2 linked regions of the Lonchura striata genome follow. The main gene of each other region encodes a partner of the protein of the gene in region 2 in a complex. Links are inferred from orthologs where the notes say so. Each region holds a gene or a part of one and is shown on either strand. Other genes may lie near its edges.

What was found.
Region 1: the proteins of RANGAP1 (region 2) and SENP2 are in contact, whole or in part, in a crystal structure (PDB 2IO3), measured with the Homo sapiens proteins. The link is inferred for Lonchura striata from reciprocal best matches to the Homo sapiens genes RANGAP1 and SENP2. Residues at the interface, in NP_001265580.1 of Homo sapiens: Glu467, Asn508, Thr511, Thr514, Arg515, Val518, His519, Leu523, Lys524, Ser525, Glu526, Asp527, Val529; in NP_067640.2 of Homo sapiens: Tyr408, His409, Trp410, Val477, His478, Asp495, Met497, Gly498, Gln499, Lys500, Pro536, His537, Gln541, Gln542, Asn544, Gly545.

What each region holds. Positions count from the first base shown.
Region 1 is NC_134612.1:5,573,736-5,577,636, forward strand, and holds the start of SENP2 (sentrin-specific protease 2), read left to right. Parts: upstream 1-1,524; 5' UTR 1,525-1,553; coding exon 1,554-1,669; intron 1,670-2,645; coding exon 2,646-2,701; intron 2,702-3,385; coding exon 3,386-3,510; intron 3,511-3,738; coding exon 3,739-3,805; intron 3,806-3,901. UniProt on the Homo sapiens protein: Protease that catalyzes two essential functions in the SUMO pathway.
Region 2 is NC_134607.1:58,518,434-58,522,334, reverse strand, and holds the start of RANGAP1 (ran GTPase-activating protein 1), read right to left. Parts: upstream 2,471-3,901; 5' UTR 2,385-2,470; intron 1-2,384. UniProt on the Homo sapiens protein: GTPase activator for RAN. Converts cytoplasmic GTP-bound RAN to GDP-bound RAN, which is essential for RAN-mediated nuclear import and export. Mediates dissociation of cargo from nuclear export complexes containing XPO1, RAN and RANBP2 after nuclear export.

The sequences.
Region 1 (3,901 bases), on a different chromosome or scaffold from region 2:
CAAAGTTCCTGACTCTTGGAGTCGGGAAAGCCCCCTGACCCCCCAAGGGGACAAAGTTCCTGACTCTTGGAGTCGGGAAAGCCCCCTGACCCCCCAAGGGGACAAAGTTCCTGACTCTTGGAGTCGGAAAAGCCCCCTGACCCCCCAAGGGGACAAAGTTCCCGACTCAACGAGCTCCGAGACGGCAAAACCTCCTGACTCTAGGAGAGGACAAAGCTCCGGACCCAGCCGTGCCAGCGCTGTCGGGGCCGGCTGGGGGAGAGAAAAGGGGACAGGAGCAGGAGAGGCAGAAATAGCCCAAATTTTAGCCTGGAAGTGTTGCAGAACGCACGCGCGCATCGCTCCAGCCCGGCGAGCGCGCGCTCCGGGAACGGGCACGGGAGGGGCGGGGCGAGCGGGGCCGGGGCGGGGCGAGCGGGGCCGGGGCGGGGCGAGCGGGGCGGGGCGAGCGGGGCTGGGGCGGGGCGAGCGGGGCTGGGGCGGGTCCAGGGGCGGGGTGTGTTCGGTCGTGGGCGGAGCCGGACGGGGCAGTGGGCGGGTCCATCAGGGCTGCGGGCGGCTCTATTAGAGTTAGCGGGCGGCTCTATCAGGGCTGCGGGCGAGTCCCGCCGAGCCGCGGGCCGGTCCCTCAGGCAGTGGGCGGCTTTATCAGGACTGCGGGCCGGTCCCTCAGGCAGTGGGCGGGTCCCTCGGAGCCGCGGGCGGACCCCTCAGGCAGTGGCCGGCTCTATTAGGGCTGTGGGCGGCTCTATCCGGCCAGCGGGCCGGTCCCTTAGGCAGTGGACGTGTCACTAAGGGCAGCGGGCGGCTCTTTCAGGGCAGCGGGCGGCTCTCTCAGGCAGCGGGCGGGTCCCTCAGGCAGCGGGCGGTCCCCGGGCAGTGGGCGGGTCCCTCAGGCAGCGGGCGGGTCCCTCAGGCAGCGGGCGGATCCCTCAGGCAGCGGGCGGTCCCCGGGCAGCGGGCGGTCCCCGGGCAGCGGGCTCTATCCGGGCAGCGGGCGGGTCCCTCAGGCAGTGGGCGGCTCTATCCGGGCAGCGGGCGGTCCCCGGGCAGCGGGCTCTATCCGGGCAGCGGGCGGGTCCCTCAGGCAGTGGGCGGCTCTATCCGGGCAGCGGGCGGTCCCCGGGCAGCGGGCTCTATCCGGGCAGCGGGCGGGTCCCTCAGGCAGCGGGCGGTCCCCGGGCAGCGGGCGGTCCCCGGGCAGCGGGCTCTATCCGGGCAGCGGGCGGGTCCCTCAGGCAGCGGGCGTGTCCCTCAGGCAGCGGGCGGTCCCCGGGCAGCGGGCGGTCCCCGGGCAGCGGGCTCTATCCGGGCAGCGGGCGGGTCCCTCAGGCAGCGGGCGTGTCCCTCAGGCAGCGGGCGGTCCCCGGGCAGCGGGCGGGTCCCTCAGGCAGCGGGCGGTCCCCGGGCAGCGGGCGGTCCCCGGGCAGCGGGCTCTATCCGGGCAGCGGGCGGGTCCCTCAGGCAGCGGGCGGTCCCCGGGCAGCGGGCTCTATCCGGGCGCCGCCGCTGCGGCGCGGGGCGGGGCGCGCCGCCGGAAGTGCGCGCGGTCCATGTACCAATGGCTGCTCGCGGTCCTCCGCGCTCTCCGCGATGCCGCCCGCCAGGCCCCGGCCCCGGCCCTCGCCCTCAGCCCGGAGCCGCCGCCCCGAAAGAAACCGCCCCCCAGGTCAGCCCTGCCCGCCGCGCCTCCGCCCCGCCCGGCCGCCGTGCGGGTGTGGAAAATGCCCGGCGAGCGCCAGGTGCTGCCCGCAGCTGTGGCGGTGACTGCGGGTCCCGGATAGCGCCGGCCCATGCGCGGCCCCCAGGTGTTGCCTCCAGCCCCTGTTCATCTGCTCGGGGCGGGAGGGCTGGAGCAGGTGCTGGGGCAGCAGCAGGGCACACGCACCCCTGGGGACAGCTGGCTGGAAGGATGCCACGCACCGCGGATAGGAGCAGGATGCCGCCCCGGGCGCTAGCCGTGCTGCTGGCGGTGGCCGGAGCCGCTCGGGATGTACGGTGTGCAGGCTCCGGGAGGCCGTGCCCGCTGTCCCATCGCCGAGTGACACGAGGGAATGTGTCTGGAAACAGCCGCGCGTTGCTCCAGTGGCTGTCACTGAGGAGCAGCTCAGAAGGAATTGGCTCTTGTGGGGGGGAGGAATAAAAATAGGAACGTTCTTTGCGCCCTGTTCCTAAAGAACACGTTTTTACCGGACTTAAGTAGCAACTGATAAAAATCCTTGCGTTTAGGCTTGTGGGAAGGGGTGAGGTTGGTAATTGTTTCAAGGATTTGTTCCCGAGCTGACTCAGCAGGAAGCTGCTGGAGTGGATGTAAGCAGCACTGGCATTCCCACCTCGCATTTCCTGTTCTACCTAAACTTTCCTTTGCAGCTCAGCGTAGTGACATGGACTTGGGTGGCTTAGTGACCTCTGGAGTGCTTCTTTCCTGGAGGAAAGAGGACAGCATTACCTATTAAGGCACTTTTTGGTGATAGGAACAAATGCAGAACACGAGGAAGAAAGAGAAGAGGCCTGATCTGCTTTAGTGGGATGATCAGCCCTCTGGGAGATGATCCTGGGGAAGCAGGAAAGCCCCCTTTGGAAGTTTGGGCCTGCTGGGAGCTGAATTGTGCTTGCAAACATGGTTTTGTCTGTTCTTCCCTCAGTGTTCTGTCACCTGTGGAAGATCCTGATGAGATCCCGGCAAAGAGGCTGAAAACAGGTATTGCCCCTCAGAGAGGTTTGATATGCCTCATTTTCCTTGGGTTTGGGGTACCTTGGGGAACTCTGGGATTGCTGCTGAAGCTGAGGATTTTTTAGCCAGTCTTGTGGCTGGAGGGGGTCTCATGGGGCCTGGGTCTGTTGATGATGTGTGCCAGTGTTCATGGATGTGGCACTTGGGCACATGGGTCAGTGGTGGCCTTGGCAGTGCTGTGGGAACAGTTGGACTTGATGACCTTATAGGGTTTATCCAACCTTAATGGTTGTCTGATTTTCAAACCAAGTGGAGGATGGGAGATCCTGGTCAGATGAAGGCAGGAACAGAAGCAGGGAACAACTTTTTCCATCCTGGGAGGGCCATGTCTTTGCACCAAGGATAAATCCTGGCTGGGGCAGGGCATGGCATGTCCCAGCTCTCTCTGGCACTGAGCCCTGCAGGGCAGCACAAAGAGCATTTTCAGTGAAGGCTGTTGCAGTTCCATGGGGGATGTGGAGATTCCTAATTCCTTCTTGGGAGCAAGATCCTCAGGGATGGGGTGGGGGGGTGCTGCTGGGCTGTTGCTGTGTTGTTGAAATGAGTTACCTGCTCCATGTGGGCTCAAGGAGCTGGGCTTGGGTGTAAGCAGAAATCCCAACCTCTGCTTCCATTCCCATTCTTCATGAGCTGGTGGTGTGGTTTTTCCAGAATGTGTCTCTGGGGCTAACAAGGAGCCTGAAGAGGTTTCTGTGGCTGACAAGTTGCTACCTAAGGCAACAAGTAGAAGCCAGGAGACTGAAGAGAGAGATGACTTCTCTGAGGCTGAAGAGAAGGTGAGCAAGGATTTTGATGGGAACTCGGGGATCAGCTCCCACAATCCCTGCAGGTGTTAGAGCCTGTGTAACAAAAGTGGTGCCATCAGTGCCCCTGCCTTCTGCTGCAACCCAAGCAAAACCATGGGCTCTGAGTCAGAACACAGCTGACTGGATTTCAGGAAAGGGAGGTGCTTGCTTGGATTCACATTCAGGTTATGCTCACTCTGGTATTTGCTTTTATTTCAGGTTGTGTACATTTCTTCTGACTCTTCATTTGCAGCATCTGGAGGGGATGAGGACACGAAAGAACCTGGTAGGGCTGACAGCAAGTCCTTCACTCATTCCTTTCTCCTGCTGCTCTGAGTCTGGGCAGCTCTGCCCAGGCTGGGGACTGCTTGCTGAAGGCGAG
Region 2 (3,901 bases):
GCAATATCCCTCTTGTTTCAAGTTCCATCCTTTAATTATATGTGTTGCATGCTTCCCATGCTCTCCAAAGCAAGCTAGAATGAACAGTTGCTTTTCCTTTTCAGTGATATTCCCAGAAGTGCCCTTGTCAGCACAGTTCCAGAACCATCGAGTTGCTGAAAACACTGTGTGCTGCATACAAAACTCTCTCAGCTTCCTGGGTGCTCTCTCCTTTCAGATGTTCCACACAAATTCATCACACGTTAAACAGGATGATCTTACACTTAAAATAAATTAATGAGCATCTAGCCTTGAGGCACAAATTTGAAGCTAGCCATGTCTGGTAGCATCTGCATAGCATTATTTAATGAATATTAATCACTGGCTGAAGGAACTGCCCTCCATCCATTGAGCACAATAACTAGAGTACATTTCTTATCCCACTGTCTCTGCTGAGATAAAAGGCTACACACAACTAATGCTTAGAAACCCCACACTTAGACTTTAGATGTCAGAAGGGATGAAGTTCCATTCCTGCAACAGAAAACTGGTTCCCTTCCATTCCTGTCTGATTAGAAGTGACCCCACACTCTTGTAGCTGCTTGAGGTCAATAGTGCTGGTTTTAAAATATCCTCTATAGGAAAACTGTATATTTTCCTCTGCACACTTTCCTCCTGATACCCCAGCTTCCCCAGAGTATGACTTCTTTTCAGGGGTCTTTAATTTTAATATCACTTTTGGAAACAGGGGGTGAAAATCTCCAAGGCTGAGCAACATAATTTTTCTAGGATGACTATCCTCTCAAGTAGTTGCTGCCAGTAGAAAGAAACTGATGCCTACTGTGGCTACCTGAACAGAGGCTAGACAGAGTTAAAGCAATAAAGTAGGTGTTTATTAAAAGGCCTTCAAAAGATAAACCTTGGGCAGTACAGCAGACCAGCCATGACTCCACCCAAGATGGACACCTGATCATGAGGTTTCATATTTTATAAGTTTTGGTCTATTTCCATGTTGGGGTTAATTGTCCAATTACAGCTTCAGGTTATGAAGTCCCATCCTCCCAGATGGCTTTCCTCAATTTGCTGTTGTTCACACTTTTTGGGCATGAAGCTGCAACAGTGTCCTTGGTTCTCAGGCTGGAAAAGGATTGTTTTGTCTACCTGCCCTGTGAAGAGAACTTGCTAACACTTTATATGAAGTTCAGAGTTACACACTAAGGCAGTACAGAACCTGAAAAACATGAAAGCTAAAACTTCAGGCATCAAACCCACATAGCTTATTCCAGTCCTACTAGACACCCAGATACCAAACTCATGGACACGCCCAGCCTCTGCCAATCCAACACTGAGAAGAAAGAGGACATCCTCCAAACCATGAAGGCTTTACCAGATAGGAACATAAGTTACTATCTGCAGAAGTCAGCCTGTCCACCTAGTTTAAGAGTAAAGTTAACAACTTTACTCTTAAAAATAATTTCTAATCTATTATGATCATCTTTCTTACAGATGTTCACATCCTCCTGGCTTCTCTTTCCCTTGAATCACCTTTGTTGTTCTTCACCTTACACATAGACTACCTTCTAATCTCAACATACACATCCTGAAGCATGTTTTATAGCACATGTCACCCACACCCACCTGTCAACCTACCAGAGGTCTCGTTACTGTTAATTCTTACGCTGAAAAAGCTTTTGGGAAGGAAGGAAAGAAGGAAAGAAGGAAAGAAGGAAAGAAGGAAAGAAGGAAAGAAGGAAAGAAGGAAAGAAGGAAAGAAGGAAAGAAGGAAAGAAGGAAAGAAGGAAAGAAGGAAAGAAGGAAAGAAGGAAAGAAGGAAAGAAGGAAAGAAGGAAAGAAGGAAAGAAGGAAAGAAGGAAGAGGTAGTCCGTTTGGCAAACACAACCAAGATCTGGAAACGCCTAAAGACAGGTTTCCTTTTCACTTAAGGGATGTATGAAACTTTACGTTCCCCTATGATCGAAAAAGTTAGTTCAGACGCATACTTTAGTTACAACACTTCATCTACCCCAACAACCAACGCACCAGCTACGTGCTGCTCGCCCAGCCACGGGGCACCGGGCAGCGCGGGGCGACAGCCCGAGTGCCCGCCCGGCCGGCCGCTGACAGCCCCCAGCGCCGCTCTTGCCCCGCGGGAGCCGCCGAGCGCAGGCCGCACGGCCCCGCCCCACGCGGCCGGAACGCCCCTTGCCGCCCCGCGCGGGCAGCGGAGCGCGTGGGGGACCCGCCGCCGGACACGCGCGACGCGAGCGGGGGGCCCCGCCTGCGCGTGGGAGCGCCCCCCGCAGGCGGGGCCGAGGGGCGCGTCAGCCCGCGGGATCGCCCCCCCGCACGCACGGCCCCCTCCGCCGGCCGCTAACGGAGACGGCGGCTGCCGCCTCTGCCCTCACCTCCTCGGGGATTCCGCCACCGGGGAAGGCGCGGGAGCCTCACGCCGCTGCCGCCGCGCCGGGGCCGCTGGGTGAGGGGCGGGCGGGGGAGGCGGAGGATTTGAACGCCGGCAGTTCTGCTCCCCGCTCCGGGATTGGCTGCTGCGTCGCGACGTCACGGGGCGCGCTCCGCTGCCGCACTGCAGCCGGTGTCGCCAGGCTGCGGGGCGCGCGCGGCAGCGGCCGCGGGGCGCGCCGGGGGTTGTAGTCCCGTTCCTGCTCTGCGCTGCGCGGGGCTCTGTCCGCGCCGCGCTCACAACCCCCACTGGCGGAAGTGTCGCTGGAGAAGCGCCCGCAAGCCCGCAGGTGGGACACGAGGACTTTCTGATGTGAAGCCTCGCCTAGATAATGTCCCTGGGGTCTCCTGTTCGTACTCACGTGTTACTGTCAGACCGTTCTGCTAAGGAAGGCATTTCACAGAATCACGGAATCTGTTAGCTTGGAAAAGATCTCTGAGATCGTCGAGTGCAACCTATGATCAAACAACACCTGATCAACTAGACCATGGCACTAACTGCCACATCCAGTCTTAAACACTTCCAGGGACGGTGACAATACCACTTCTCCCCGGGCAGTTCATCCCAATACTCAAACACCCTTTCTGTGATAAAATTCCTCCTAATGGCCAACGTGAACCTCCACTGGTACAGCATATGGCTATGTCCTCTCATCTGTCGCTTTCACCCTGGAGTGCAAAGTCATTCCTGCTTCAGGATGGAAAAAAAGCCTTGGTTGGTGTTATAAATGAGAATTTATTCAGCCAGATTAAAAATAAAAATAATTTTATTAGCGGTCAAATTCTATCTAGCCAGCCACACGGAAAGAACAGAGCCGAGCCCGGGGTCGGCCCTGGGTGTGCAACAAGGAGTCAGCCTCAGCAGAGGTTTTCCCCTATGCCCACACACCTCCATCCTGGCCCGAGTGGTTTTTATAGGGAAAATTCCACCTGAGGCCAAGATTTGAGCAGTTAGTCTTTTCTTCTATTCAGAGTCTATAGGTTAATAAGATTTTCTTTTTTTGGTGATGAGGAGAAATAATTCAATGTCCAGAGTAGTTGAATTCGGAGTAGTTGAATTCTTGATGAGAGTTTACGGGAAGGCTGCATTCACATGGATCTGTCTAAGGATTTCCATGATATCCATCTCAGACGATCAGCACCGATGGTGATGATCAACACCTGGAGCCCAGATATGGCCCATCTCCTGGCCGAGCCACATCCTTTTACTTGTAAATCAGTTTCTAATATACATCCAGTCTCGCCTGTAAAGGGGGAGGGGGGGGGGAAACTAATACGACGGGCATGATTTAACAAATATCCAATATTACATATTTCATACAAGGAATGGCGCGAATTATATTTATTACACATAACATTCTGAAGAGCTAATAAAAATAAACATTGTCTTATCCATGGATAATAGCAATTTTTGGATCAAAACCAATACCTAAAAGTGTGCATTGCAATAAAACATTATGAA